4 linked regions of the Rhinolophus ferrumequinum genome follow. The protein of the gene in region 2 interacts with the protein of the main gene of each other region in a pairwise test. Links are inferred from orthologs where the notes say so. Each region holds a gene or a part of one and is shown on either strand. Other genes may lie near its edges.

Region 1 (7,835 bases), on a different chromosome or scaffold from region 2:
AGGTCACATAGTAAAGCAATAAATCAAACCCAGCTCTGGCATCAAGCACACATTTATATCACTCTACCATTGTATGATGATGTTTATGAAGGAAATAAAGGGGTGGATGGGGCTTTTAAAATCCGAGTCAGATTATTATTATTTTTCTATATGGAATGTAATAGTTCCATTTTGAGAATTTCAAGGAAATGATAGCATGTATAAAAAAAGGAGATAAATTTAAAATTTAGATAATTTATTTGTGAAGGAATATACACATGTATCAATCAATATCTTGTATTCAAATAATGTTCAAACAATTTAAAAAGTATATAGTGCAATAAGTTAAATAATTTAAACAATACATGACATTGAGGTGCGAGATCCTCTACAAAGTTATATAAAAAAAATCTACTGAATTTCTCTACTACCTTCATAACATTAAAAATCTCTAAACATTATGCTCCCCTAGACACTCAAGTCACTTCAGAGATTTTGTTTCAGGCCAGGCCACCTCCTTCCAGATCCTTTTGTTCAACTGCACCTGGGCCCACTCAGAGGCAAACAAATTATTCAAAACGCAGATAGGTGAGAGGTTATACTCAATGAATTATTTATTGAGCATCTGCTAGTTATCTCATTGCTAGGTTCTTGGCAGAGACAAAGAAGAGAGGACCATGGTCTCTAATGAAGATAGGAATGCATGGTGGAAATTGACCAAGTTGTCCCCTCCCTTCAGAAGCCTCTCTGGGCATCAGATGAAAGATCTGACAACCATTAATGTAGCAGCTCTGATCATCCATCCAGAAGGTAACGATTTGAACTGATGTACCGAGCTCACACATGCCCATGAACTATGCTTATTGCCTTGAAAGCCTCAGCAACCATGAACAAATTGCTCATTGCCAGCCTTCATGGTCGCTCACCTGGTTTCCACTTCCTACACCATATTTGGGATCTTTTAAAAAGAATAATTTTCAGACCTACAGACTCACAATATATCCAAAATGGCAGACAAAATGAATGTCTGCCTTCAAGGTAAACACATTAACCAGCACTGCTGTTGAAAGTCACCGTTGGAGAGTGGTGTGCAGCGCCTCCGTATTCAGAGCTTCCTTTGCAGTCCTGATCCACTTTCGTTATATGTGGCTAATGATAAAACTGCTAACCCATTGCCTTGGCAACACATCCATTTGCTAAAAAAGGAAATAAAACCTGAGGTTTATTTTAAAGTTTCTATCTGCCAGGTCTCTTACACTAATTTAGGAAATACTTTATTTTTTTTAACAGCAATAGATAATAGCGTACAAATAGTAACAGGAAATATTTGATGAGAGAAGACACTCACGAAAATGGTAGAGTTTATTTTTTAAATATAAATCAAAGAGTTTTGGTGCCATTAATGTTCTTTACTGTTCTCCATTAAAATATTATATCTGCCCTAAAATTTATACTATATTTAATCTTCTAGTACCTTCCTCAATTGTTTGCATGTTGAAATTTCCCATATTGGAATTTATATATGGTCAGAGGAAATAAAATTAGTCTCAGGAAGCCCTAACTATAGATTTGAAAACTATAAAAGATTAGTGCTTTAGAGCTATAGTGTGTAAATCAGATAAAAATGCAAGCATAACAATCAAGAATTTCTGAATCCTTATTGTGAGTTCCCAGCAGAAGGAACTGTAGCCTCATAATTTGGTTATCTGTTATTTACATTCTACTTCTACATTCCTGTGGTTCTACTATTTTTTTCTTTTATCAGATTCTGTTGGTAAATTAAAACAAAAGGAAGAGATTTTCAAAACTGGGCCTAACCATTTAAAAGTAGCAGATTGTAGTACAGCCAAACACCACAAAAGTATTCACAGCATTTTATTTCTTCAATTTGTTGGCTAGAAGCTACCTTTATCAGTTCTCTCAGGGCTTGCTCACCATTTAGGAAGTCGACTAGGCAGCTTTCCCAGGAAACATGGCAGGGCCTGCACTCTGTTGGAATAGAAGCACATCTAGACTATGTTTTGGGGCACAATGCCAAAGTCTGCATACTTCTTCACCCTGTAATTAACTAATGCTATTACAATAGGATTCTCACCTCCAAGGGTACCCTTTTAATGAGTTTATGTTTATCTTCCTTTCAAAGGAATTGTTCTCCTGAATCATTGAATTCTGCAAGTACTCAAAAATTATCTCAGTTTAGTTTGTTTTTGTATTTACAGGGAAAACTACATAGCTGAGTTGTAGAATATCTAGAATATATAATGATATCTACCTGACTTTTTAAAAGATGATAAGTTACCAAAAGTGTGAAGACTTAAATAATTATTATTCACAGTGGTTGAGCACTCATTATATACTGTGCAATATATTAAGTGCTTTTATGCATCATTCATTCATTCAACATATACCTATTTTCTACTATGTGTACTATTTTAGAACCAGGAGAACAGCAATAAATAAAACAGAATCCCTCCTTTTATGGAGCTTATGCTCCAGTAGGGAAACAATCAACAATTAAATAAGTAAAGCATAAAGCATGTGTAATGAAAATAAGTGCTATGGAGAAAAATTAAGCAGAGACAGGAGATAGTGACTGTGTGTGTGTGTGTGTGTGTGTGTGTCCATAAGTATCTATTGAAATACGTTGAGATGAGCAGAGACCTGCGGGAGGTAAGAAAATCCAAAATTGGATCTCAGGGGAAAGTTTGTTAAAGAGCATTGAACAATTATTTTGTTGAGTATTTCTTATAACCACTTACCATTTAATCCTCACAGAAGCACCTCATGGTAGGTACTTTTGTTGCTCCCATTTTACAGGTTGTTGCTCCCATTTTACAAGAGAATTGAGGCTTAAAAATATAAACAAACTTGCTTAAAGCCACACTACTTATAAAGGGCAAGCTAAGATTTAACCCTGATCTGCCTCACTCACAAACTATGCTTTTACCATCTACCTCCTGTCAAATCACCCAACTACCCAATAACAAGATTTCTACATGCTCAATATTGGTACCTACCTAATAGGATAATCAATTAAAACATCACAATTAAAAAGAAAAAAAAATCAATTTCAGAGTAAAAAAGTAAATGAAGTTTGACTCAATCCAATAAACAAATGAGAAAAATGCCTCTCCACTCTCCTAAAGAGGAATTTAGATGAGGCAGAGCAGACCTTGTAAATCATGGCTCTCCAGGCACAAAAAACAAAGGGTGCCCTAGCTGACCCAGTGGGGGCTGGTATGGAAATCATCTTTCAAAGCAGCACTCTCAGGGCTGACAAAGAGGAGAGGGAGAGATGAAGAAGGAGGAAACAGGAACAGAGTTTGTTGTTGGACATCTCTATCAGTACTTCCCCTTCTGTTCACCCCTCTCTTTTCAATTGAATCTGAGCATCAGGGTTGGATGTTTTCACCTGGCTACCTAATCGAGCTCTTCACAAAGTATGATCTACCTCAAGACTGGTCCTGCTGGAATGGGACGAATTGCTTCCAAGACTGACAATCCACTATATTAATCCACTTAATCCAATATATTAAGTACTATATTCCATAAGGACTTGGCCATGTGGCTGGCCAAGAGAGAAAGGATAGCAGAACTATCACCTCTTCCTTGTCCAGGGATGGGGCCCCTTGATTTCCTCTTTGTTCCCTGGAAGCTCATTGACCTGTGCATTAAGTGTGTGCATAAAGAAAGAAGGGTTTGCCTAGGAAAATGGGGTAGCAGAAAGCTGTGTTCTCCACCACTCCAGACCTGAATAAGTGGAGTTTTGCAGTAATTGAGTGATTAAAGGAAAGTGAACATACAAACCAGAGTAATCAAAAGGAAGATTATCTTCCTTAATACCAGGGACAGATGTTTTTCTTTCTGCCTCTCAAGTCGAGGAAAATCAGGACAAGTGGCTTATGTTGTAAATTTTAAGGTCAAGGGTCCTTTCTATTGAGCGTAGCTCTTAAGTTCTCAGTAGTCAATTACAAGTGAAACATAATTGACAGCGCGATAAATATAAGTTGTGGAAGATGCGATTGAAAGTCAGAAGCCCCTTCCCTAGGTCCCCTACAGCTATCATAACCAGGACTTAGTCAAACCCGTTAGCAGGACTATTAAAAAGTATCACCTATTCACAGTGCTCTTCCCTAGCACCTCTTACTGGAGTTTCTCTACGTGGGTGTGTTTGTAAGAGAGGAGTCGGTGAGCATAGAGAGTACTGGGTACAAAGTGTATTTGTAAGAGGAAACAAACTCTCAATGAGGAAGAACATATGTTTCTGAGACTACATCTGTGCAAAATACATAGTCCCTGAAGTTGTACCAAGAAGAAAAAAAAAAAAACTACCGTATTTTAAAAAGTCTTATTTCACATATGTCATCTTCTTGGCATATTTCCCTTTACTGCTTTTTCCGCCTGACCAAATAGTCCCTTCTCACCCTCAGGTCCAGGAGAATCACGAAATGTTTCGAACAGTCTGACAGAGCCTGACTAACCAGATATATTACTCACTCGGGGATCCCAGAGGCAAACCTCAGCCTAGGAAGATTAAGTTGACTCTTCAGGGCGCACCTGCCCAGAGGGCGGCCCCTCCGCAATCAAACGGAAATCACACAATCTCCGAGGGCTGGGCAGAGGCCGAGCAAGGCAACTAAAGTTGGGCGCCGCCCTGGCAGGCAGTATCCTGGGTGACTCCAGAGGGTGCTCGACCCGGGCTGACCGCGCCTTCCCCACTTACCCGGGGGCGGGTCCAACTGGCCAGGTATCTGCGCTGGCGGCGGCCGGCTCCGCCCCCGCTCCCAGGCATAGTGCGCCTGCTTGGCTGCAGCCGCGCCTCCTTCCCCGGGGAGGCTGGACTCCGGGGCTCGGTTGGCCGCGCTCCCCTGGGCTCAAGCCTCTCACCCGCGCGGGGGGCGGGGCCGCAGGCGGGGCCGGGACGGTGGGGCGGGGCGGGGATCGCACCAGTGCCCCCGGCTCCGCCGCAGCTTTTCCTGCAGGTCTCGCGGCTGGCAAGCGGCTCGGTCGCCTTCTCCGGTCCCATGGCAGCCCCCGGTTCCCCCGCTGAGTGCGGCTACATCCGGACGGTCCTGGGCCAGCAGATTCTGGGGCAGCTGGACAGCTCCAGCCTGGCTCTGCCCTCCGAGGCCAAGCTGAAGCTGGCGGGGAGCAGCGGCCGCAGCGGCCAGGCGGCCAAGAGCCTGCGGATCCAAGAGCAGGTGCAACAGACCCTGGCCCGGAAGGGCCGCAGTTTCTTGGCCAACGGTGAGTGGAGCCCCGCCTCCCCCCTGCACCACCTCGATCCTACCCCTTACTCCTTCGCTACCCCTCCCTCACCCGCAGAGCCCCGTGGCTTCGGTTCGCTGCTTCCTGTGGGTGCCGGACCTGGTGTTCAGCCCACCTGTTGCTCGTCGTCCCTTTGTATGAGCCGCCGCGCCTCCGGACTCAGACCCGCTTACTTGGGGAAAGCACTTTTCTAAAATAACCTCTTACTCAGCTCTGTCATATATGTATCCGTGTATGTTAAATGTACGTATATATCTAAGTGAAAGAATTCAGTCCAAGATTTTCACCCCTTCCTAAACTTGCTCTCTTCGGCCCCCTTGTCGCGTCCCCCACTGGCCCCTCTTACAGGGGTCTTAATCTGGAGACTCCGGGAATGTGTCAACACTTTGAAATTTTATGCAGAAATTCGGTATGAACATTTTTCTAGATGAAAACTCCCCTACCTTTTATTAGATTTTTTTAAGAGTCTGTGACCCCAATAAATATTTTGGAAAAAAAAAAACAACCTGAAAGTACTGGCCCTCCTACGAACTGTATATTGGGATTGCGATGCCTCGCCCAGGTACTTCGCGGCGTTCCACACCGTGTACCGAGCGAGCGGTTGATCTAGGAAGTGAAAAAATTGGGTAGGAGGCTTTGGGCCTGGGAACAGTCACACCACCCCGCCGAGGAAGAGGGAAAGGAGGAAGGGTATTTTGGCCCCGCCGGCTGCAATATCCCCTCCGCGAAGCTGCGCCCGCGGTCGCACTCGTGGGCACAGCGCTGGTCTCTCCAAAAAATTAAACTTGGAGTGAAAGAGGTTTTAAGAAAAAGGGGGTCTAAAAACACACTATATCAGTAATGGATAGCCAGGGGAGGTGGAAGGGGAAGATGGAAAATCAGTGCTGAAAATTAGAAAACATGATATGTCATTTTCTCCCCTGCTGAGTCAGATGATCAGAGCCACACCGTGCCTTTTATTAATTTATTTTTTCATTACAAAAGTATGATAGGCTTTTTATAGAAAAGAGAAGAGGAAAGAAATTGAACAATTAATTTAGTTGGGATATCAGTTTGTTGAACTGTTTGTCTAGGAAGTTGAACTGTAGGAAGTAATTGGACAACAGCATATGGAGAACCCATGAGGAAAAAGAAAAAAAGACCAGATTAGAGTTTGAAAACAGCAGACCTGGGAGGGAGGCTTTATTGTTTTCAACTTGTGTAAAAGAATCCTAAAGGATCAGGCAGTCAATGTTTATATACTTGAAAAGTAAAGAGATGTTTAATGATTATAGTTAATTAATGTAATTGAGTGCCTACTGTGTGCCAAGAATTGTGGTTTGCGTTCATTGTTATTTATGTTTCCAAAAACACTTGTGAGGTAAGTCTTTTTATCCCCATTTTACAGATGAGGAAGCAGTTATGTAACATTCAAGTTCCCACATATAGTAAGGAGCAGAATTGATATTTAAAGTCCCAAGCCTGAATTTTTAAACCACCCATCAGTTATTGTATATTGTTAAGCTTCTTCGTTATTAGTACAAAGTAGGATTTTTATTGGACCCTACGCCTCTTTATGGCCCCATCCTGTTTTCCTCTAAATAAAATTGAGGTGGTTCTGAGCGAGTGGGAGGTCTAGATAACACAGAACTACCACAATGCATGGAAAAAAAGGAATCCATATTTACTGTTTAGGAGTCTGATGACTCCAGAACAAGTGTGGCTACTTTTTCACCAGTGGAGTCATTCCACCTCTTTACTCTGTGCAGGCCGGTGCTAAACTGAAACCAAACTAGATTCTGCTGGGGGATGCAAGGAATGCACATTAGATATTCTTTCTTAACCCCTGAGAATGGCTAGCTAGAAACAGCAACCAGCCATTCATTCAACAGCAACTTGAATGAACCAGTTCTTTCAACAGCAACTTGAATGAACAGAAGGAAAGGGAGTATTGCTGAGCATCTATTATGCACCTAACACTGTTCAAGAATATGTTTGCATTTCGTTATGTCCTTAAAACAATTACATGAGATAGATACAAAGATCCATTTCACACATGAAGAATGTGTTGGTCTCTCAACATTTATTGGACACTTAGTCCCAAACCTTCACGGGATTTATCCTCTCTATAATATGGTGAATTCATGTTGCTTGGTGAGTTCAAGGACTATCAAATGAGTCGGTGTGTGCAGGGCACTGCAGGTGCTGAATTAAACATAGACTGCTTGCTTTAAAGCAAGAAGTTTAATGTCTGAAGAAGGAAGCCTCCCTCTAAAAGACCCATTATCAAACACAAACTGACAAGCGACCCAAAAGAACAGCTAACACATTGTGGCGTTTAAGTGGATGAGTTAGACCACTAGCTGAAGAGAATTTTGAAAAGCTTCTTGGAGAAATTGGGATTTTAGATCCCCCAAATCTAATAGGATGGGACATAGGGAAGTGGTTGGAGGAAGACCGTTCTAGGAGGGAATAACAGGAATATTTCATGGTTCACAGAATTGATATGGCAGAGTACAGGGCATTGTCATGGTGCTTCTGCTCAAATGTTTAGGGCAACTGGTTGAGTGGCTCTTCCAACTAAAGAACAAAGTGCTTGAAATATTTTG
Region 2 (7,521 bases):
ACGTGATTGAACTTGTCTACACATGTGTACTCCCAGAGGCGCACACTGTACAAGGTCAATGGGCCTGGTACACACTGCGCCCATCAACTGGTTTCCTGGGACTGAGGATATGTAAAAGCAGCAAGAGCAAATGGAATAAGGAGAAACCCAGAAAGAAGTCAGGATGGCACTCACCAAGCCTCCTCCATGGTAGTGGCTGCAGGACACATGCCGAAAGCCCCACTGCAGGGGGATCCCCGGGGTCGGGGATGCATCCTGGTAGCCCAGCGGGAACGGGTGGTAAGTGTGCATGCTGGAGCAACCGGGGTACAACTTGGAAGGCTCTCTCTCCAGGTACTCAGACCCCACTGCACAATCCGAGTTGATGCTCAGAGAGAACCCTGAAAAGGTAAGCAATGAGGAAGTGTTAAAAACACAAAGAGCTAGGAAAAAGAGCATCACATTACTGTCCAGCGACAGCAGTATAGTAAACACAGATCCATTTACAAAGAACTCCCAAATCCATTATGCTTTTGACCCTCCCTGCTTTTTAAACCTTTCTACCATATCATACTGCTCTTAGAAAAAGTCCTTGGCACAGCCATGAAGCCCCATGCAGGCTGGTTCCTGCCTCCACTCCAGACTCCTCCAGTACTTAACATAGCAGTTTCTTCTTTCTCACCCACCTCAAGGCCTTTGCAATTGCTGTTCCCTCGGCTTGGAAGGCTTTCTCCCCTAAATCCACTTTGCCTCTTTAAGTCCTCATTACTAGGCTCCTACTCTTCTTCTTTTATACCACAGCTAAACCATTAATTATTAGAGCTCTATACACTGATTTGTGTAATTCTTTGATCAGTAATGTCCCTCCCACAAGGACAAGATCCTTGAGAGCAAGGAATCTGACTTTTCCCCCCCTCACCACTTCATCACTGGCACATACCGTGTTTCCCCCAAAATAAGACCTAACCAGACAATCAGTTCTAATGTGTCTTTTGGAGCAAAAATTAATATAAGACCAGCTCATATTATATTATTATATTATATTAATATTATATTTATTATATTATATTATATACCTGGTCTTATATTTTAGTAAAATAAGACCAGGTCTTATATTAATTTTTGCTCCATAAGATGCATTAGAGCTGACTGTCCGGCTAGGTCTTATTTTCTGGGAAACACCGTATTATAACTAAGTGCTCAGTCTGTTTGCTGAGAGATGGAACAAAGAAAGGCACTATGTCCATGGAAACATCCTCCTAGGATTGCTGTTTCAGGTCTGCCTTCCCCATCTAGTTCCCTAGGGACCTAGATTTTCCAAGAATGTCCCATAAGGCAGAAATGGCCTCCAGAGAGCATCCAGGCCAATCCCCTTAGCATAAGAGAGAAGAGACTGCCACAGAAGGAAGGAGCTTGCTTAAGGTGACAGGGTGAGTAGTCCCCAGCTACTGACTCAGACTTGTGGTCTTTTTACCACATGCCATAGGGGAAAATCAACATACGTCTGCACTCAAAAAGAGCTGTTGTTTAAAAGCCTCAAATCTACACATGACTTGGGAGTTGTATTTTAACGAACATGGTGGCAAAGGAGAAAAAAAGAGTCAACATCTCAATGAACCAACTTTCTCTTCCTGCGTGGAGCAGAGACGCTGTCCCGTTCCCACCCACTCGTAGGAAAAGGGCGGGATAGGGTACCAAAAGGGGTGCGCAGGCGCAATGAGCCAGGGCACGGGTAAGGGCGGGGCCTCCAGAAGGTAGAAAGGTGGGTGCGCAGGCGCAGTCATAGTTGAGAGCGCTCATCCGGAAGTAAGTCCTAGGAGAGGAGCCTCCAGCCCAAGAAAAGAGCGGGAAAGGACGCGCAAGCGGGTTGGGACAATGGAAAGGAGGTCCTCTGGGAGAAGCCTCTAGCCTGTGGAAAGGGAAGAAAGAGTACACAGGATCAGTAATCGTTGTAGGGTGTGTGGGGGACAACGTTCCGGGGGAGGAGCCTCCAGTCAAAGAAAAGGGCGGGAAGAGGTACGCAAGCGCAGTGGAGCCAATATCCCCCATGAAAAGGAGCCACAGCTAAGGCGACTGGGGGCCATTTTCTATTGCAAGATGGAAAGGCAAAAATTGTAGCTAAATGTTAAAAGCTGTCTGGACCACCCACTCCCTTCTATCGCTCTTTTTACCTTTTTGCAAAAAAGGCGCTCAACCCAATTTTGTATTATTCAGTAAAGGTTTCTCAAAGCAAGGTTACCTATGGAAAGCATTTTCCCCACCCCCACCCCTAGGGCCCATCCCAGGCAGCGGGATCCAGGCTGGCCTAGGACGCCAGCGCGGCCTGCACGGAGGCTGCAGCCCGGAAAGGAACTGACCCTGGGGACAAGGCCGCACGGGGCCTAGGAATCTTACCGAAGTCGGCGAACGGCGGACTGGGCACGGGACGCATGGGCCTGCGCAACTCCAGGCGGCCGGGGCCTCCCCTGCCTGCGGCCTCCACCCCGAGCTGGGGCCCCACAAGACTGGGCACAGCCACAGCAGCTCGTTCGCTGGGCCCCATGTGGCCGCGGCCGCCCAGAACTGGCTGGAAGGCGCTTGGGCCGGGGCTCGGGCCCCGCGGTGGTCTCTCCAGCACGTAGGTGGCCGCGCGGCCCTCGGGGCCCGCTGGCTCCGCGTCTCCAGAAGCTGCAAGCTGAGGCAGCGGGTGGAAGCTGGAGGCCGAGGCAACAGCCGTGGCCCCGGAGGCTAACTCATGCTCTTCCTCAGAGGCCTGCTTCTTGAGCATCTTCTGCGCGGCCATGATCTTCTGGCGTTCAGTGATCAGGTAGCACTTCTCGCAGGTGCACTGCTTCCAGCGACACTTGCCAGCATGGCCCTTGACTGGCACCAGGAAACCATGGTTCCGGCACCGCGAGCACTTCGGGGTCCGCAGCATCTTGTCGGCCAGCTTGGCAAGGTCTGCCTTCTTAGCACCTACCGCCTCCTCTGGGAGCTGCAGAGCAAGTGGAGCAGGGAAGAGCAGCGCCCCAGAAGTCTCTGGTGCTGAGGACATTTGGATACAATTGTAACAAAACAGCTCTCAGTACGTCCCGGGAGCTGCAGCAAGACCTTTGCATTTTCCCTCCCTTTTGGAGGGTGCAAAATTTGGAGTTTCTGTGCATTGGTTCATTAGACGCAAGGGTTTGGGTTGAATAAATTCTTCATGGAACGTTATTGCATATATGTCATCTGGATTATCTGAAGTCTTAGGCATTTAGTTTTCCAAAGTTTCTATTCCCGCCACCCCACAGACAAGGTATTTTTTAACTTCAAAAAAGGCAGAACGATATTCAGTGGTCCACAGATTTAAAGCTACAGTGGAACGAACCTCTCAGCAAACCCATTACAGTAGAAAAGCATTCTAAGAGGCAAACCGTGTTTCTCCTTCCAAAAGCTGGGGCTTCTGCTAAATTTTATTTCTCTCCCCTGCAAAGGAAAAAGTGTGCAGGCGCAGCCATCATCATCAAAATGCGGTTCACAGCGATGCTTCCAGAATATTCTCAAGAGCTCAATGCCCTGTTATAGGTGCTCAAGGATGTGTCCTTATGGTAATTCCCATTTCTTAAGAAACTTGTTGGTACAGGAATGCATTTCTAGAAGATGGTGTGTTGCTGTTGTTGATGCCTTCCAAAGTAAAGCATACTTAGAATGCTTTCAAGTAAAGTAGACTTGGGATATTTTAACGTGAGCTTGAATCATTGCTTAACTTTGCCATGAATTTTGTTATCACTGTAAAGCAACCCAAATCTTGGGACAACTGAAAAGCTGGCACAAACTTCATAGTTTCCCAGGGCTACTAAATCACTTAATTTTCTTGTTTGATAGAAATTTGTGACACCCTGAGGTTTGTTTTTGATATTTTGGGGGTTTTTTAGGCTCCAGAAAAGAAAAAATGGGTCACTCACACCTAAGTTGAAAGCTTATAATCATAGCATGAGTCATAGTTGAGGAGGTACTTATGGTTAATACCTGGCTAAAACAAGTGCATTTTAAATTGCCTTTTCTCTGAAATTCTCTTTCTGGCAGCAGAATGGTAGAAGCTATAGCCCTGTGTCCACCTTAATTTTCCTGAGCCTCTGGTTGCAGCTGAACTATGCATTTCTCACCAGCTACCTGAGAATAGGAAATGGCTGCCATTCTGAGGCCTGTTAGATACTGGGAAGCTGAAAAAGAGGTTTGTAAAGTCTTTTTTCTGCTTTAAAGAAATATATTTCCCATTAAGAGGGCAAGAGTATGTCCTTCCTGTATTATTTGGCTCGTCATGAATGTCACCCATTTGGAGAGATCTAAGTTTGTCTCTGCTTTGCTCTAACACCCTCTATCTTAATTTTTTATTTAAAACATGGTCCCATAGATAAAAAGACAGTCAAGCTCTTTTTCTGACTCTACCCAATTCAAAATATCTAATTTTTTCACAGACTTTTTCATTTGAAAATGGTACATAAAAATCACAGTTACAGTACTACTGTCAAAAAATCTGGGGTATAAGCTGCATTGTTTCATGATGATGCAAATTGTAAGGTCAGTTTCTATGGTACCAAATTTAAATTTTAACATCAGATGATAAGGCCTAAAAAAGAAAACTACTCTATTTATATTTCATGCTTGACTACCCAAGCTCTCTTCATTTTTCTATTAATGATATAAAGTAAAATTCTACTCAAAGCCAACTATTTGAATTAACATATTTTAGCCTTGTTAACTACAAAATGCTTCCGTATTTACTTCATAGCTTTGGGGGCAAAATACAACCAAGGTGATGAGAATTTGCATGGTGCTTTGAGAACATTAATAAACAACCACATATCTTTTTAATCAGTAGTCACATTATAAGATGTAGAAACCCCAGGGTTTATACAGTAAATAAATCTAAGGGGGGAAAACACTAGTTTATTTCTCTCTTCCCCCCAAAGTCGCAATTTATGTAGGTAAATTCCAACAGAGCTTTATTTATTTCACTCTTGGAAATTCAGGCAAATTGATAGTTTTGTTTTATTTAGATTGAGGACTGATTTCTTCTTAAGCTGCTGCCTTTATACACACACACACACACACACACACATACATATATATGTATATATATACATATATATTCAAAGAAATGTATTTTAAAAGATGGTAATAACATCAAAGTGAAAAACTAGAGGTCAAAAAAGGATGGGAGCAATAAGCACACAATGAACCCCTTCCCCACACCTAAACCTTAGAAAATTTATGTTTAAGAAAGTCTGCATCATTATAAGCAATGGTTTATAAAATAACAAGTTAGAATTGTTGAGGAATCACCAGTTTGACTAATTAACCACAAAGGAGCTGATTGGTAGTCATATCTGACTCCCAACTTCAGTCAATAATGGCCCCTTTTCCCTTGGATTCCAAGTTTCCTACCTCGAATAATGCCTTCTCTTTGGTTAATATGGTTGCTATTGATACTGTTTAATTCATATTCATTTTAAAGAGCCTGTATTATGCAGTGCATTGGGGTATCATTTATAATCATTAAATATTGCATGCACTGCAATGCTTCCTTACTGGTAGCACACAAGAATAAAGAAGGCTCTTTTTTTTGTTTATAGTATCTTTCCCCCGACAGCTATAACCCAGATAGCTGCTATCTTCCCCTTCTTCAGGCTCACTCTAGTGAGCAATGAAAACTTTATTGAAGATTTTGTAGGGATGGAGGCAGGATTTACATGACACATCCTGTAGCAGATGCTTGAAAATTCTGCCTTAGCATTTCTGTTCTCTCAAGATCCTCTTCTGTTGTGCCACACCCACTCAAGAGAAACTGGCCTCTCCTCCCCCTTTGCCCCCATCAGTACCCAACCTCTCTAGCTTCTGCCTCCTTTTTTGATTTGGCGAGAGCGCTGTAATAGCTGCATCTATCTTATTGTCCTTTATGTCTAGCACACAATAGATATTCAGTAAATATTTATTGAATGTATAAGTGAATCTTACCTCCCTCCCCTGCCAATGTCAAAGTTATCGCCTCCTTAATTAGCAGTAAATCAACTTGGCTTCAGCAACTTTCCCCAAACATCATACAAAACAGAAAGCCCAGGGTGAACAGGTCCACTCTCTTGACAAGCAGAATTTGGGGATCAGCTTTGATTCCCTTCAGCTCACCCCCTACCCCTAATAGTTTAATAATAGTAATAATAGTTGCTAGCACTAAATCTGTATATGTGCCAGTAATTCTTAAGTCTTTTATGTGTGTTCATATAATCCTCACAACAACACTCTAAGGTAGGTACCATTATTTTCACCTCCATTTTATGTGGAGGAACAGGCCTAGAGAAGATAAGTAATTTTCCCAAAGATTTCCAGCCATTAAGTGGCAGAGCCATGATTCAAAACCAGGAAATCTATTCTCAAGATCCACGTTCTTAAGCATATTAACTGCTAACTACATATTTCTTCTAAACAAACACAGTGCTCTCCTCAAGGAAACTTTGATAATGAATAGAAATGTTTGTCATATTACATACCTTACTACAGGTGGGACAAAAGGGGGTGAAAGTGGTAGCAACCTGGGGAAACGTCCTGGGATGCCCTGCTTAGTTGCATTCCTCCACCCAAAGCTGATATTTATTGAGTACCAACTATATGCTAAGCACAAGGGACACAGAAGTAAATAAAACGACAGAATCTTTACCTTTAGGCATACCTTTTGGCAAACCACACAGTTAAAAAATAATTCCAGGTGAAAGCTGGGGATTGAGCGGGGGATACCCAGGATGCTATGGGAACCCCTATGAAGGGCCTAACCTGGATCAAGAAACCAAGGAAGACTTCCTTAAGGGGCTGACTTCTAAGCTGAGGCCTTAAAGATTGGGTAGGAATTAGCCAGCTACAGGAGCAGGAGGGGTGTGTTGCAGACGGAGCAGCATGTGTGAAGGCCTGCAGGGTAGCGATAGTATGTGAGGTCAGAAGACTGGAGAGAGATGAGGTGTAGAAGTGAAGCAGTAGCCAGGTCTTGTAGGGACTCCTTGGGGGAAATTATGGGAGTCGCTATCTAAGACTAAGGAGAGAAAATGACATGGTAAGAACCAGATAGAACCCACCATGGCCAGACGTCTAGTCCCTGCCCTTGGTTTTCTTTCAGAAAGCGGAGCAATAAGTAACTAGGACTCGCATAGGTATTGCAAGACTAAAATGGAGTTGAGTGGGGTTTTCTTTGGGGTGGTTGTTCCAGGTGGGGCATGTACTCAAGGCGAGGCATGGCCCTGAACTAGCACTGTGCTAGGCAGGGTGGTTCTTCCTAACCCTGGAGCCCTGTTGACTGATCCTATGAATCTCCTAGGAGTCTTAAAGAGGTAAGGCGCAGAGCAGAAGTGATGTAAGACAAAGGAGTGAGAGAAAATCAAACAGCAATTGAAGAGGGTGTAGAGGTAAAGAATGGAACAAACAATTCTGTGCAGCAGATGAAAAGAGCAACATCCAGGCAGAGAGGTCATGCTCAAAAGGGGCATTGTTAGCTGAGTTGGACCCAATAGCACTGACACTGGTTTTGTTTGCTAA
Region 3 (7,290 bases), on a different chromosome or scaffold from region 2:
CTCAGTCCAGCAACGAAGATTCCCTATGCTTTCCTTACTCATTAATCATAAAAATTTTATTTTTCAAATGCAATTTAATTGCCAGATTTTAGCAACATTATTTTTAAATATATTATGTAAAAATAGAATGGTCCCACCCCTAAAGCAGTTAAAACTCTATTAGAAAGACATTCTAAAATTTCAAAGCATGTATAAGGAAAATATTAAACATAAAAGAAGAGGCTTCTGACCAAGCCCTTTAGCCAACCAGCTGTTGACTCCCTGGGGTGCAGCGTCATAGGCTGTGTGAGGTGAGTAAATAGCGACTCTGTTCTCCAGAGCCCGAATCACCAGGCGCTCCTTCCAGGTTTTCCAGGTTATGCGCTTCATAGGTTGGAAAATAGGTGGATGGTAGGAGAGAATGAGATCAGCCTTCTTTTGCAGAGCTTCCTCCATCACTTCCTCGGTCAAGTCATTGGTCAGAAAGAGTGTGTTTACAGTATGTGGCGGGCTTGGTTCCACCAGTAATCCAACATTGTCCCAACTCTCAGCAAACGACAGGGATGCAAAATCATTCAAGGAGGAAAGGAGAGCCTTCAAATCCATGAAGGAACAGGAAGAATTGCAGATCAGGGAATGAACTAGCCGAACTGTCGTGCGGACCAGGTGTACACGAGATGACAACATACAGAAATCAGGTAAAACTGAGTATCTGAAGTCAGAACAGAAAATGATACACATGTACACTTTAGGCCCAGACTTTTGAGGCAATAAAGCATATGAGCAAAAGAGCTACAGTCATACATACCTAGGTTCAAATACTGGCTCTGCACTTACATGTTGTGGGGACAGAGCCCCAAAAAGCAGTTTCCAGGCTCTCAGCCTCACATAGAAAGGTGCTGGCTCAGGTAGTAAATGGCCATCGACTGTGATCAAATGGCCAGCAGCTGTGGCTAGTTGGCCGTCAGCTGTAACCAGTGAGCCATTGGCCACGAATATAACTGCCGTGGCTAGGCTAGCAGAAAAAGGGGGGAGCTAGCAAGAAGATGGTGGCTGAGCCTGCAAGCGGCGCAGTGAGGGTTGAGAATTGTGTGGCTCCTGGTTCCTGTTTCTCCAACCCAGCCGCCAGCGAGAGTATAGAGATATGACTCCCCTACTTATGGCTCCGTGGGTGTTCCTTTTTGGCCTAGCCATATCCTGCGTTTTTGTGTGGGTAGTGGGACCAGAGACCCCGCCGGATGCTCCGCACGACACTTGGCGTAGGCGGCAGGATCCCCTGCGCTACACATATTATCTTGGGTAAGTCATGTAACCTCTCTGAACTTGTTTCCTCATCTACAAAATGGAAATACTACAACCTTCACAGGCCATCTGGAGGAGCACATGTATTAATATGTGTAAGTCAACTAGCACAAGACTGGTACATAATACACAAATGTTCATCCCCTCCTCTCCGGCCCCCACCACACCCCTGTTCTTGTTCTCCCCACCCTAGCTTCCACCACTCTCCTCCCTTCTCCATTTCTCTAAATATTACCCTATCTTCCAAGTTCCTTTCAACTTCCTAAATAAAGCTTTTTTTGACAAACCTTTCTTTTCAGTGTCTCCCTACTCCCTGCCCCACCCCGCTCTGCCCTGGTATTCTCATAATATTATATTCCTGTTTGTCTCCCCAGTATGCTAATACTACAGGAGCATAGGAACTATCTTTCATACGTCTCAGTATCACCAACATAGGCCAGCACTAGATGCTTACTGTACAGATGTACACAATCCCCCTCCCCCATCACAGCAGAACTTGGGAGTTAGGGTGGTATATATTGGCATTGAAAAGTACTCAAAGGGCAGGAGCTGCTGCCCCTGAACCAACACCTGCTACAGGAAGGCCAGGCTCAAGAGGTGAAGGTGGAGGGCACTTTGCCCAGAGTCTGTAAGCCTTCTAAGACAACCATATCCAATACAAAAGATAACATTGTCAACTCCATTCTTAAATTAATAACCGTAAACACTTTTGTTTTTTAAGAAAAGCATTTCATTGTATGCCCAATAATTAACAAGAAAGCATAGCCAATTGTAAATTTAATATTCACAACCCAATGATTTCAAAAGCAGATTTGGGGCAACATTTCTACAGCAAAAATATTTGAGATGTGAGTAGTACTTCAATATAGGATTTGAAGTGATGGGGCGCCTCCATTAACCACTCAAGCCTGGGGTACTGGAAGATCTTCTCAGGTCCTTATAATACCACTTCCACTCTGCACATTCCACATCCTGATAGTTCTCCATTCTCCAGACTCTTCTAAATCTGGCAAGTGCAAAAGTGAAGCTCTAGTGGGCCAGCCCCCGTTGAGTTATCTACTGTTACTTATGAAAGAGCACTTGGAAATAACAGACACCCACCTCCCCTCTCCCGTCGCCATTTCACAGATTAGGAAACTGCAACTCTGCGTAGCTTGATGCCACAATTAATAATGGGAGGCGGCAGAGCATGGTGGGTAAGAGCACGACTCTGAAATCAGACTGACAGACTCCCAAAGCTACCGCTGTGTAACGTTACTTAACCTCTGTGGTTTCCACCGCTAAAGAATGGAAATAAATGCCCAGCTCATAGGGTTGCCTCAAGATTTAACCGTAAAGCTGGAAACAATACTTGACCCGTGTTTAGTAACATTAGTAAGTCCCACTATACAGCCTGCAAACTACACCTTAAGTTACCTCATCTACCCTTCACTTCCGTCCCACTTCAGGCCTCTCCCAGGACAAGAAAGAGCCCTTGGCACAGCCAGTAACTCGTTGAATCTGGACTCCTGCCCCACTAGTGCCCTACGCTCTCATACTGCAAGCCAGTTTTCTGCCTCTATCACCTCTTGGACCCCTGTCGTTGCACTTTGCACACAACAGCCTCATGCCACAAGAACCTAAGTCCGCCGGGATTTAAGTCGCTGAAAACTCACCAGTCCTGGAACACTCTTCGTGCGTCACTTCCGGTCCCGTGCGGGACTTCCGGCCTGTGGGAATAAGTGAGGCAAGGGAATCAGGAGGAAGTGGTCCTTCCCATTTTTACCTCTGAGTCCAAGGATTGCTGCCCATAATAGTTCCGGGCTACGTGTCTCGTCCTAATATAACTATTAAAAGAGCTCCTTTTCACTGTCAAAAGTGTTTCAGGTAGGGGTAAGTTACATTGTCTCCCTAGTTTTAGACATTTGGGTTTGAGACAGGGAGGAGAGGGGAGGAAGGAGGCAAGCTCATTAGGGGCGTTCTCTCGAATGTGTCCCACGCTCGACTTCCGGTGGCTGAAAGATACTAATTTTCAATTTAGAGACCTGGCGGAGGTATCTGCGATTGCATCTTTCCTGTTTTAGCTACAGTTGTGTTAATCGAAGTGGTTAAGTAAGTATGGGGTAACGCGCTCATTCTTTCATTAACTTATTTAAATGCTTGCAGAGCAGTGTGTTTTAGTTCTTAGGCTGCTTAGAGTGAGCATTCTGGGCGGGAAACGGCAGACTTAATAAATTAATGAAGTATATGGTATATTAGTTATAAGTGCTATGGAGAAAAGAAAATAGGACAGGTACTAGGGTTAAGGCATTTTTAAATAGAGTTATCAAGTCAATGAGACCTGCCTTTTGAGCACAGACTTGGAGGCTGAAGAAAATAGCCGTATAGATGCCTGAGTGTAAGCGTTCCAGGCGAAGGGAGCAGCCAATTTCTAGGCCCCAAGTCGGCTTGTTGAAGGACTTGCAAGGAGGCTCTTGAAGAACAGTGAGTAGGGGAAGTAGGAGGTTGAGGGGCTTGAGTCGGAATTCCTCATCACTTCCATAATCGGATTTTTATTTCTTGGGAGGTGCTCTTCGAGACTTTTAAGTATGCAGTAAACGTGAGCATGAGTGAGGTAAGAGAGACAAATCAACTTAATTCTTTTTTCTTTTGGTAATAGAGATTTGTTTTCGAACTTCTCTCAATAAGACTGTGAGAAATTAAGTAACAGTAAGAAAAATGGTAAGTTTTATAGAATTCTTATGAATATCTTTCATTGTAAGTAATTTTTAGAAATTTAGTCAAGGGAAATAAAACGGCATGGAAATTTCAATAAGAAGACAAAGAAAAGTGGTAAGCTGTAGAATCATACACTGAAAATATTCTAAACAAAACCAGAAGTAAGCAAAATTACTTTTAAATTGTTTTTGTTTTCACTTAAAACACACAATTTATATTTTGTGGAAAAAAGATTGACTACAAGATATAGAGATGAAAAAGGTGAGTAGGAGGAGCAGAAGGATATAGCTAGGTGTGATCATTATAATTGGAAGCTTTTCTCTGTATCTAAGGTGAGCGAGCAGCTAGAGCTATAAGTAGGTGAAAAACAATGAAAATAATGTCCTGCCCCACTCCCACCCCACCCGGTGCTCTCAACAGGCACACACACTCCTCTCTATTTTCAACCTGGGCATACTTTCTGAATGCTAGATACTATTAACAAGAATAGAAATGAAAAAGGAAGCCCCAAAATACATTTCCTTCTTTCTGGAATGGGGTAACAAAAGGAATATTCAAGCTACCAAAATAACAGGTAAAACAAACAAAAAGCAAGCATGCAGAGTACTATGGTTACCTTTGCACATTTACAATCTAGAAACACTGACACTTTTTACGTCTTGTCTTTAGTTGAGAAAGAAATTGTTTTTTAGCTCTGCATCTCATAAGTAAATTACATAAGGGAAATGGTGGAAACTATATTTTGAAATTCATTTTCTTACTATTGTTCAGTAAATGTCCGTGATGTTAGTGAATGCCATTTAAATCAATAATACTAATATTACAATTGTTTTTATTGATGAAAAATTGAAACTTAAAATAATTATTTCCATCACAATATTTGCTCCCCAGTTTTTAGCATAGGTGCTATTTTACCCTAAACTTTATATTTATCTTCTGGAGTTTTTTTCCTACTGCAGAAGTAAATTTTGAAGAAATATAACTTATCTCCCAGAGCTTCTATGTGGACAGGTCATCTCTGAAACAGTATTTCTATCTGTTTTTATTTAGGCTGTCATCTTTAATATCTAGTTAGAGAAATCATACAGTGCATAAAGTCACCTGAAGAAATCTGTTTTTCTCACATTCTCTCTCCTTTTTAGTCGGTGACACTGCATACAGATGTAGGTGATATTAAAATAGAAGTCTTCTGTGAGAGGACACCCAAAACATGTGAAGTGAGTATCATTATGTACCAAAAAAAAAAAAAAAAGAGTTAATGCAGCAGATAACTATTTTGAAATTGAACGATTCAAAAATAACCAACAATAAATAGCCAAAAACCTTTTCTATAAAACCATTGTCAGGTAAAGCCAGCCATCATAATTTCTGGCCTAATTTCAACTTAAACTTTCTTGATGTCAAAAGTGGATCAAAGAAAGTGTAGATAATTTTTCTCTAACCATAGAGTGGCTGGTATCTTTTTCTTTTGGCTCATTTTCCTCAGGAAACATAAATAATCATGAAATATCAGGTAAGAAAACTGTTCCTTACATTATCTCACTTGTTTAAATGACAAGGATAGAACGAAGAAGAGTCAGCTTTATATATTTATTTATTCAACAATTATTTATAAAAGGCTATCTTGACAGTGTCTTGGAATAAAGTGATGAACAAGAAACATTCCTTGCCCTTGTGAAGATACTATTCTAGGTGGGAAAATAGGCCAGAGTAAGGGTGGGGTGGGGTGGGAGGGCTCATTCTCAAAAAAAAAAAGTAATTCTAGAGGGTGATAATGCCTTGAAGGAAATAAAATGTTAAGATAGAGGATAATGGGGAAAGGAATTATTTAAAAGAAGGTGAGGGCAGGCCTACCCAAGAAAGTGATACTTAAACTGAGTGTGAAAGGTAATGAAGGCATCTCCATGGAAAGATATATAAAAAGAACATTCCAGATATAGAGATAGCAGATACAAATGCCTCAAAGTGGGAAAGCCTACCTCTTTTGGATGAATTTTCAGGAGACTGATGGGGTTAACATAGTAAGCAACAGGGATGGGGTTATTATCATATAAGATGTAGAGTTGGACCAGCTCATGCAGAGCTTATTAGGCCCTGCTGAGGATTTTGTATTTTATTTCAAGAACTGAAGGAAGCCATTAAAGTGTTTTAGTCAGGGAAGCAACATTATCCAAAGTAATGCCTAAAAAACATAGTTTAAATATGCTGTTATAGTGTTTTCAGTAAATACAATTAGTTTTATATCTTAAATTTGTTTCTGCTACATGATTTCTCAATCATTGTTTTTACTCTCTTCAGAATTTCTTGGCTCTCTGTGCCAGTAATTACTACAATGGCTGTATATTTCATAGGAATATCAAGGGTTTCATGGTTCAAACAGGAGATCCTACAGGTAAGTTACTCCATTAATAGCTAGGGAATTGGGTCTATAGTGAGAAGAAGAGGGTAGACAAAGAGTAGGAAAATAAAAGCATGTGGAGTTTTTATAACTGGGCTACCTTACAATAGCAAGCAATTTTTAAGCTGAAGCTACTAGCACCTAGCCCTAAAATATGAATAGTACTAATAAGGAGCATTTTTATTTTTTCTACAGATACTTTATTTTTCTGGTTTGTAAAGTGAAATTTTGGGAAGTAAGAGAGGACATACTAAATTTTATTTGTATTCAAAGAGTTACACTGTAAACCAGCCCTTAAGTTTTAGAAAATAAACCCTTTCTCAACTTTAATTAGATACTTCTGTTTGTCTTGTAATATAGGTACCGGAAGAGGAGGTAATAGTATCTGGGGCAAGAAATTTGAGGATGAATACAGTGAATATCTTAAGGTATGTCCCCAGTGCTTCAAAATCTGTTTTCTCATGCCTTGTTTACACTTGGAAATTTCGATACATATGTTCTAGTAACACAAGGTAACATTATTAGTAAGCAAATATTAATACTTTTTTTGTGAAGTTTTTGCACACTTAATAAATGATATCAAGGAGAAAATATAAATGGTAGTTCTAACCTAAAATATATACTGGAATCTTACCATCACATGAATCTTAATATTAAGTGAGCTCATCTTTGGGTCCAGCCCGAAATATTTAATCAGTAATGTACCACAGGAGCTTAATGTGTCATTATAAAATTCATCGAATAAAAAAATATATAAATAAAATTCGTTAAATGATGTGAATCATTGCCCTTTTTAGAGAGTGGGGAGGAAAGACTATCAGAACGTCTGGTTACAATATTGCCATTATCAATCTCCAATTTTAATCATCTTTTGTTAGATGTTTAAATATTCCTCTCTTAATGCCTGCAGATCT
Region 4 (7,664 bases), on a different chromosome or scaffold from region 2:
ATGCTATGATAGAAAGTTTTCTGTAAATCAGGTGACCTTTAAAAAATTTTTAAGTCCATTCCACTAAGATTAATGATCCCTCCCTGTTTTTCCACCTGGGATTCTAATCCTAGGTTTGTTTTGAAGAAGACACAGTACTATAAATACTGTCCATCTGTCTGAAGGAACACTTGTAAAGTGTCAAGGCAATGATTTATTTATTCACCTATATAGTTGAGTAAAATTAGTAAAACCTGCCACCATTTAGATTTGCTTCAAACCATCTTAAGTGCTAACAAGCTAATCCTACTAACTAGGTGATTTTTTTTTTTAAGTTAGTTGTTTCAATACTATTTTGATTAAAAAAACAAGAACAAAACTACGAAAGCCAAGTCTAGATATCAAGTACAAGCAATCATTGGATAACTATGGTAGAAACCCATTCAAAAGAAATATTAAGATTATATTAGCTATATATACTATCACCAATCTAATACACTTAATAACAGTATAAATTTTTAAGCGCTAATATTTTAAAGCATAGAATTGATCTCCATCAAAAATACAAACAAGTTTCCTTCCACTATTTTAGCACATATCTTCAGAAAAGGCCAAATGGGGACTAAATCAATCTAAACTAACATGAGAGCATAAGGGTTTATAGTTACTAGTGATAACCAACCTAAGAGCCACCATGAGAGCATTTTCCAGTACCATTTTCAGGCTGACACTGAGATTACAATACAGCCTCAGCTTCACAAAAATAAAGGTGTAGCTTTTAAAGAATGGCTTAAAGTCCCATTTAATGGAACTTGAATGGCTTAAAGAAAGAGGTGAATTGTTTTGTTTTTTACAACTTGAGCTACTGGCACAGCTGCCCAAAAGTAAAGTACTAAGGAGGAGCATGAATGCCTTATATATGAATATTCTCCATACATTTTGATTCTCAGAATCAAACCAATTAGTGAACATACTGTACAGAGTTCTTACATAAAAGAGTGTAAAGTAAAAGGAACACAACAGATCCCAACAGGAAACCAGTAGTGTTCTCCATTTCCCATTCCCTCTTGTGCAATCATGCAAGAGGAACACAAAGTAAGGAAAACTCAACTTGGAAAAATAGGAAGGGTCCTAAATAAAGGGACCCAAGATAAAAGGAGTACAACTCAATTCTTCAGGCCACTGCTATGCAGAGGTGAGTGCTGTTCATTTTCCCCATATGAACCTAAGTTCCACCCTATCTGAAGCTTCCACACATCTGACCATATCCCAGTACCTCTAGAGACTGAAGAAAGCATATTATTTCTCTATGAGCAAATAGCATGAAAAATGGAAAATAAAGGAATTAAGAACCCCTTCCTCCAAAGTTACTCATTGATGGAAAGTAGAAAGAGCTTAACTGATTTAAACTGAATAAATGCTGCCAGCCTCAAGTTTTCTGATAACTTAAAGTTTCTGAAAATTAAAGTTTCTTTAATCTCACTTTTCTTCAATCACCAGTTTAATTAATTAAGCAAAGCTCCTTAGTTCCCAAGCAAGAGTGTCTTCAAGTTGCCCACTACGTTCCCTGAAAGGCTCTCATTTTTGATACCATTACTAAGAAGCCAGTGAGGTCAGCACATTTAAGTAAACCAAGTCAGTCTCTGAAATGAGAAGCTATTAATGAAAATGGAGGGAATGAGGACGTACGACCGCACAACTCAAACTACAAGAACGAGTCTCTAAGAGGAGATCAATCACTAGTCAGCGTGGGATGCCACAGGGGGAGGGACAATACGCAGATCCTGCCCAGCGTTCGTTTGGGAGTAACAGTCGCAGACTGAGGCCAACCCCTACCCATTCCGCGTCACTACCAAAAATGCTGGGGGCGGGGGGGACGGGGAAGCAAGACTGAGTAACAAAAAGACAAGATAACATGGATTTTTCAGTTAATACTATGAGGCGCTTGGGACCCAACCATCAGCGGAAAGCTGCATACAAGGAGATGGAGGGGACCAGTTCATCCCCAGTCGGGTCAGCCTGAGCTTTTAGAAGCAGGTTTCCGCCCTCGTGTAAAGCCTCCTCCACTCGTCGCCCGACTCGGCACCTGCTAGGCCACAGCGTCCGGGGCACAGGGGAGAGGGAGCCCCCCCCTTCCTGCCCAGGTCCTCCCCGTCGTCCTCGGGGCCTCCAAGCCCAGGTCCTGGGGCAGGGAGCGGAGCTCGGCCATACCAGGTGTAGTCGTCCTCGTCCCGCCAGGCAGCCACGCTCTCCAGGTCCAGCGGCTCCACCTCATCCAGCAGCGTGGGGGGCGGCGAAGGTGGCGCGGCGGCTCCCCCGGGCGGCGTTCCCACGACCCCCGGCTCCGGCCCGCCACCCGCGCCGAAGAAGCCCGTCGCAGGCTTGAAGTAGACGAAGGGCGCCTCGGGGGGCTGCGCCAGGCTGCAGAGCAGGGAGGGCGCCGGGCTGGGCAGGCAGTAGGTCCCCGGGAACGCGGGACTGGTGCTGCCACTGCCTCCGCCCCCGGCGCCCAGCGCCAGTCCGAGACCCAGGCCCCCGGAAGAGGCAGCGGTGGCTGGGGGGCTCCGCGGACCCAACGGGCTGCAGGCCCCGGCGGGGGGCGGCGCGGCGGGCGGCGGCGGCGGCGGCAGCAGCAGCAGGTGCGGGGCGGCGGCCGCGCTGGCCGCCCGGCTCCGCAGCTGCTCGTTTTGCTTCTCCAGCTTGCGCACCAGCTCCTGTAGCTTCTTCACCTCTAGCTCCGCATTCACCACCGGCCCGGAGCCCGCTCCGGAGCCGCCCCCCGCCGAGGCGCATTTCACCTGCTCCGCCATCATCCTGGGCCCGGAGGGCGCCGCAGCCGCCGGGGGTTGCGCACCTTCGTGCAGGCTCCTCTGGCCGCGGGGAGGCTACGGCTCCTTCCCTGCCGCCCGGCCCGGGGGGCCGACCACGCTGGGGCTGAGGCCGAGTGGGCTGCTCGCATCAGCACCGGGCTCCAGCCTCCCGCCCAGGCAGCAGCCGCCGAGCTGCTCTGCACATGCTCAGAGCGTCTCTCCGGTCCCCTGGGCGCCTCGGCGGCTCCGGGTTTTAGTCGCGGCCTCGGGGCGGGGCGGGGCGCGGGAGCCGGGGGGGCGGGGCCTGAATGGAGGACCAGCGGGATGGAGGCGCTCCCAAGGGGCGGGGCCCCCACCGCCGCCGCCACCTAAGCCCAGGTGCCTACTATTGGACCTTGCCTGAGCTGTCCCGCCACGGGCACTTCCTCCCGCAGCTGCGGAGAGTACGGACTGAGCGCTTCTACCAAGATGCCCCAGCTGCAGGTGCTAGCCCAAGAGGAGCGCACCTCGCCCCCTCTGGCTGACTACCTTCCAAGAACACTGTTATGCTTAACCACGTTATCTGCTAGCCACTAGCTAGTGAAACCCATAGGAAACCAAAAGGCTAGGGGACATTATCGTAAGAACCTAAAAGTAAATAGGTGGAACAGAAAAGCTTTGAAACGATGCTATCTAATCCGCTAATTGGTGATACAGAAACCAAATGGTGGGAGAGGGGAGGCCGAGGAAAAAGAAGAAACCTCCCCTCACTAAGAGGGGGAGAGTAGCCAGCTGCTGAAGAGCCACTGAAGTGTTCAACTTCAGTTTATTTGAAAATAGTCTAATTTGAACTATTCTATTTACCACCAATGTTTGCCCCAATAAAATGATCGTGTTTTACATACTAGATAGTCATTAAACAAAAGACTGAGAACCATACTCTTCCCAACACCATTCTAAGACCTAGCCATGCAGGCAGTGAACAAAACAGGCAAAAATATGGAAGACACATGAGTAAAATTGTGTAGAGCTCCATCTATTAAATAATATACAAGCTATTAAGGTCAGAACTCTACCCCAATACGCCTAATCTCACCTTCAAATCTACTTCTTATATCCTATGGAAAGCATTAACAAATCTGCTTCAAGGGGGAGGGGGAGAGCGAAAGGGCTTTTAAGAAGAAGAATTGAATCAAGTTTCATTCAATTAATATTGACTTAGCATTTTGAGTGTTTAACACAATCAGAGGAAAGTGAGATTTTATTATGAGAAAAGTCCATACAACTAGTTTTCATTTTCAGATGGTAAACTATCTAGTGAAAGTCCCCGCTCAGGGACTTTAGATACCACCAATCTTCGTGACAATGTACCCCAAGGCTCTGGAACTGCTCGCACATTGAACCGGTTGATTTTAGATATGGCTCTGTGCCTTCCTATTCAGAAACACTTGTGTCTTCTCAGTTGTAAACCTATATCTCTAGTTTCTGTGTGAAGGGTGGCTGTTCCGTATTTAACTTGCTTAGTGAGAGCTTGCATAAACCCTGAACCTTCCTCTCAGGTGTCCCAGCTTGCTAGACCACCACCTAACCACCTGTATCACCCATCACCTTTCCAAGTTTCAGTCCTTCTTCTGGATATTCTGGTTATTACTAAAACCTGGAAAAGTGGAATAATACTACCGAAAGCCCTAAGTAAAGAATCTATTGAAGGATTTTTTCCGCATGCTCAGTGGCAGATGCGGGTAGCAGAATCCCTGCAACACAAAGAAAGGGAGACGACAGACAGACACAATGAGAACAAAGAGCTGCTGGGTTCCACATTAGCAAAAGAAATTGGGGATAGGCAGACTAGAGAGGCAACAAGAATTAAGATGTAAAGAAAAGCAATCACGTTACTGCAAAATTTAAACACTAGAGGAGAGAAATAAACAGCCTGCTCTTCCCCCATTTAGCCAATATGGGCTGTAGAATACATCCACGCAACTAGTAGTCAAGCTTCAGAACTGTGTTCTCTAAGTAACACTTGTCATAAGAATCTGTTGCGTAAAAACAAAGTATTCATTGAAATTTAGACATGAAAGAGAGATAAAACATTCTGGCCTAAACTTCTATTCTGCATTCTTCTGCAAAGACAAATTTGCCCTCTTCCAAACTGTTTTAAAAGTGTGAAATGACTCATGTCTAAAAAATTTTAAATCATGTATTTCCTTTCAATTGAAGCACTCCCTCCCCCTTCTGTGAATTATAGGTATACACACACCATAGACACTGAAAACACACACTGATTTTAAGTTGCTATCCTCCGGATGCCAGTCTCTTTAACACATAATTAAAGAGGTTGATGGTGTCAAAGTTTTAATTAAGCAGTCTTGATTTTTTTTATTTTGATGTAAATTTGTAAGCTTTGTGTTTTGAAAGAAATTGTATGTATAGTTGCTCCATTTTAAAGTACTTTTTATTTTAAATGAAATATATAAGGTGATTTCAGAGGTTTACAAAGACAAGAAAAATGAAAGTGCATGTCTCATCAAAAACTTTATGCTTTACAAATACATTTAAAACACCAGAAGCTCATGAGAAATATCCATATACTACACATTCAAAACAGATAAATAAAAGTGTATTTCGCCAGTGCACCTCAGAAATGTGGCCATTCTAGTGACTTTTTTAAAATTAAAGTTTATTGGGGTGACTTTTAAGAGAGAAAGTAAACTTATTTCATTTGTATTTTTCACATATACCTCTAATAGTATCTATAGACATCAAATTCATCCAGCCACAGAATTGCAAAAGCAGCATAGTTTCTTCTTCAATTTTTAAATCTAATTTTCCAAGGAAATCTAGGAACAAGGTTAGTTTACTTGCCCAAGTTCAGTCATGAAAATAACAGTAGTTCTCAGCACAGTTCCTAGTGGTCCAACCACTCCTTTCCTTATATACCTTTGTTTTAGAGTAAAATTCCTCTAAGAGTAAGGCCCGTATGTTTGAAATGTAGATTTTCAATCAGCGCAGTGGACATACCCTAATATGAGCCCTACATTCATTCAAATTGATAGATCCAATTACTGCAAAAAAAAAAAAAAATCATCTAGGTGTTAAGCTAAGATCCAAGATCCCTGACTATGTTTTCAAGTTGATTCATCTGGACTACACTGTTTGCTTTTTTGTTTGTTTGTTTTTGCCTCTGAATAGAGAGTTCTGTTTATCCACTCAGAATAGACTTGAATACTGTGGGTCTCCACTGCCCTGTGCACAGTGTCTAGCACAGCAAAGAAACATGAAATAGGTTTTTAAAGAATAAATGAATAAATAAGTAAATCCCCAAACTCTAGCTGAAATTTAGAGAAGAATCCAATTGTTTATTTTCATAAACTCCATTTATCATATGGTAACAACCCAGTAGGATTATAAGACTTTTTGCAAACCCCATAGTAATTGATTATTTCACATCTCACCCAATTAAAAGCTAGAAAAATATGTGCTGCATCTAATGTGTGCATTTTCACGTAAGGAGATAATGCAGAGAGAAAACAAAAATGCATCAAACCGGAATTTATGTACATATAGGTATACCTCATGTTTTGTGCTTCACTTTGTTGCACTTACAGATGTTGCATCTTTTACAAATTGAAGGCTAGAACACCACCACCACCACCACCACCACCAACACCACCACCTCCACCACCAGCACCACCACCTCCACCACCAGCAGCAAGAAGGTTAGGACTTGCTTTATTGTTATGGTTCTAAAATGAACCCCAAATATCTCCAGGGTATGCCTATAATCCTTGTTTGGGTTGCTCCCTTTTGACCCCACCCAACTCTATTACTCAAATCCCTGCCATCAACCCATGTAATTATGCCCTGTAAAGTCACATATAGTAGTAGTTATAATAGGAATAATAATAACAATAATAATAATCTGTTTATTTGGCAAGCTACAGTTTTCAGAGCCCCTTTTTAATAAATAGTTATTACATGTCTACTATGCTCAAATCATAATGCTAGATGATTTTTTAAAAGTGAGTAAGACAGTGTCTCCGACACCGAGATCTTATCTAGTTGGAGAAAGAAGCACATAAACAACTATAGTACAAGACTTAGTGCGATAAGTATCATGATAAAAATACAAATCAACAGCATAGGGAGTGAGTGTCCAAGAAGGAGCAATTAATTTTGGCTAAAAATGTTGGGAAGACTTCATGTAGAAAGCATGCATTATTTCATTCAGTTCTCCTTATCAAGCTGTGAGACACTACAGCAAGTCTGATATATGCATTTATCAGACAAGATGTAGGATGTATCAAAGCAACAATAGAACTAGGATACAGCACCCAGCTCTAATTTCTAGTCAATATTGTTTCCTCTGGGGTCAATTTGTTATTTTTATGGATAACTCATATATCTACCACTCCCATTAAAATGAAACTTTTTACAATTTATCTTAGTAGTAGCGATTAGTACTTAGAAAAGGCTAGCAATTGTTCTAAGCCCTTTACTTGTATTAACTCATTTAATCATCAAACAACACTTTGAGATAGTTTCTATTATTATTTTTGTTTTATAAATCAGGAAATTGAGGAACAGCGAGGTCAAATAATCTGCCCCAAATTACCCAGCCAGTAAGTGGCAGAGCCAGGATTTGAAGTTAGGCAGCCTGCCTTCAGAATCCAAGTTCACAAACTGCAATATCTCTGGTCTTCAGCAGCACCTAGCACAACACCCTGCTCTGGGCTTAATGGCTTACCAATAAAAACTATTGATTGTGCAAAACCAATAGTCAGGAATGCTTTAAACAAAGTCTGATTCATTACCCAGCAAAGATTACTGAAACTTTCCAAGCTCAGATTAGAAAACAGTAAGTTACCAAGATCAACAAAGTTGCCAGTGCTGGTA

What was found.
Region 1: the proteins of DMRTB1 (region 2) and PKP2 interact in a two-hybrid assay, tested with the Homo sapiens proteins (2 studies listed by BioGRID). The link is inferred for Rhinolophus ferrumequinum from reciprocal best matches to the Homo sapiens genes DMRTB1 and PKP2.
Region 3: the proteins of DMRTB1 (region 2) and NIF3L1 interact in a two-hybrid assay, tested with the Homo sapiens proteins (2 studies listed by BioGRID and IntAct). The two-hybrid records come from large-scale screens. The link is inferred for Rhinolophus ferrumequinum from reciprocal best matches to the Homo sapiens genes DMRTB1 and NIF3L1.
Region 4: the proteins of DMRTB1 (region 2) and SLAIN1 interact in a two-hybrid assay, tested with the Homo sapiens proteins (2 studies listed by BioGRID). The link is inferred for Rhinolophus ferrumequinum from reciprocal best matches to the Homo sapiens genes DMRTB1 and SLAIN1.

The regions. Positions count from the first base shown.
Region 1 is NC_046293.1:41,680,719-41,688,553, reverse strand, and holds the start of PKP2 (plakophilin-2), read left to right. Parts: upstream 1-4,835; 5' UTR 4,836-5,003; coding exon 5,004-5,226; intron 5,227-7,835. UniProt on the Homo sapiens protein: A component of desmosome cell-cell junctions which are required for positive regulation of cellular adhesion.
Region 2 is NC_046292.1:38,263,531-38,271,051, reverse strand, and holds the start of DMRTB1 (doublesex- and mab-3-related transcription factor B1), read right to left. Parts: upstream 3,014-7,521; coding exon 2,374-3,013; intron 381-2,373; coding exon 175-380; intron 1-174.
Region 3 is NC_046291.1:30,355,913-30,363,202, forward strand, and holds the start of NIF3L1 (NIF3-like protein 1), read right to left. Parts: upstream 3,003-7,290; 5' UTR 2,937-3,002; intron 2,288-2,936; exon of another isoform or gene 2,141-2,287; intron 914-2,140; exon of another isoform or gene 788-913; intron 692-787; 5' UTR 667-691; coding exon 231-666; intron 1-230. Other genes in the region: PPIL3 (peptidyl-prolyl cis-trans isomerase-like 3), read left to right, coding at 3,866-3,874, 5,121-5,195, 6,277-6,370, 6,737-6,804. UniProt on the Homo sapiens protein: May function as a transcriptional corepressor through its interaction with COPS2, negatively regulating the expression of genes involved in neuronal differentiation.
Region 4 is NC_046287.1:28,440,510-28,448,173, reverse strand, and holds the start of SLAIN1 (SLAIN motif-containing protein 1), read right to left. Parts: upstream 3,019-7,664; 5' UTR 2,793-3,018; coding exon 2,191-2,792; intron 1-2,190. UniProt on the Homo sapiens protein: Microtubule plus-end tracking protein that might be involved in the regulation of cytoplasmic microtubule dynamics, microtubule organization and microtubule elongation.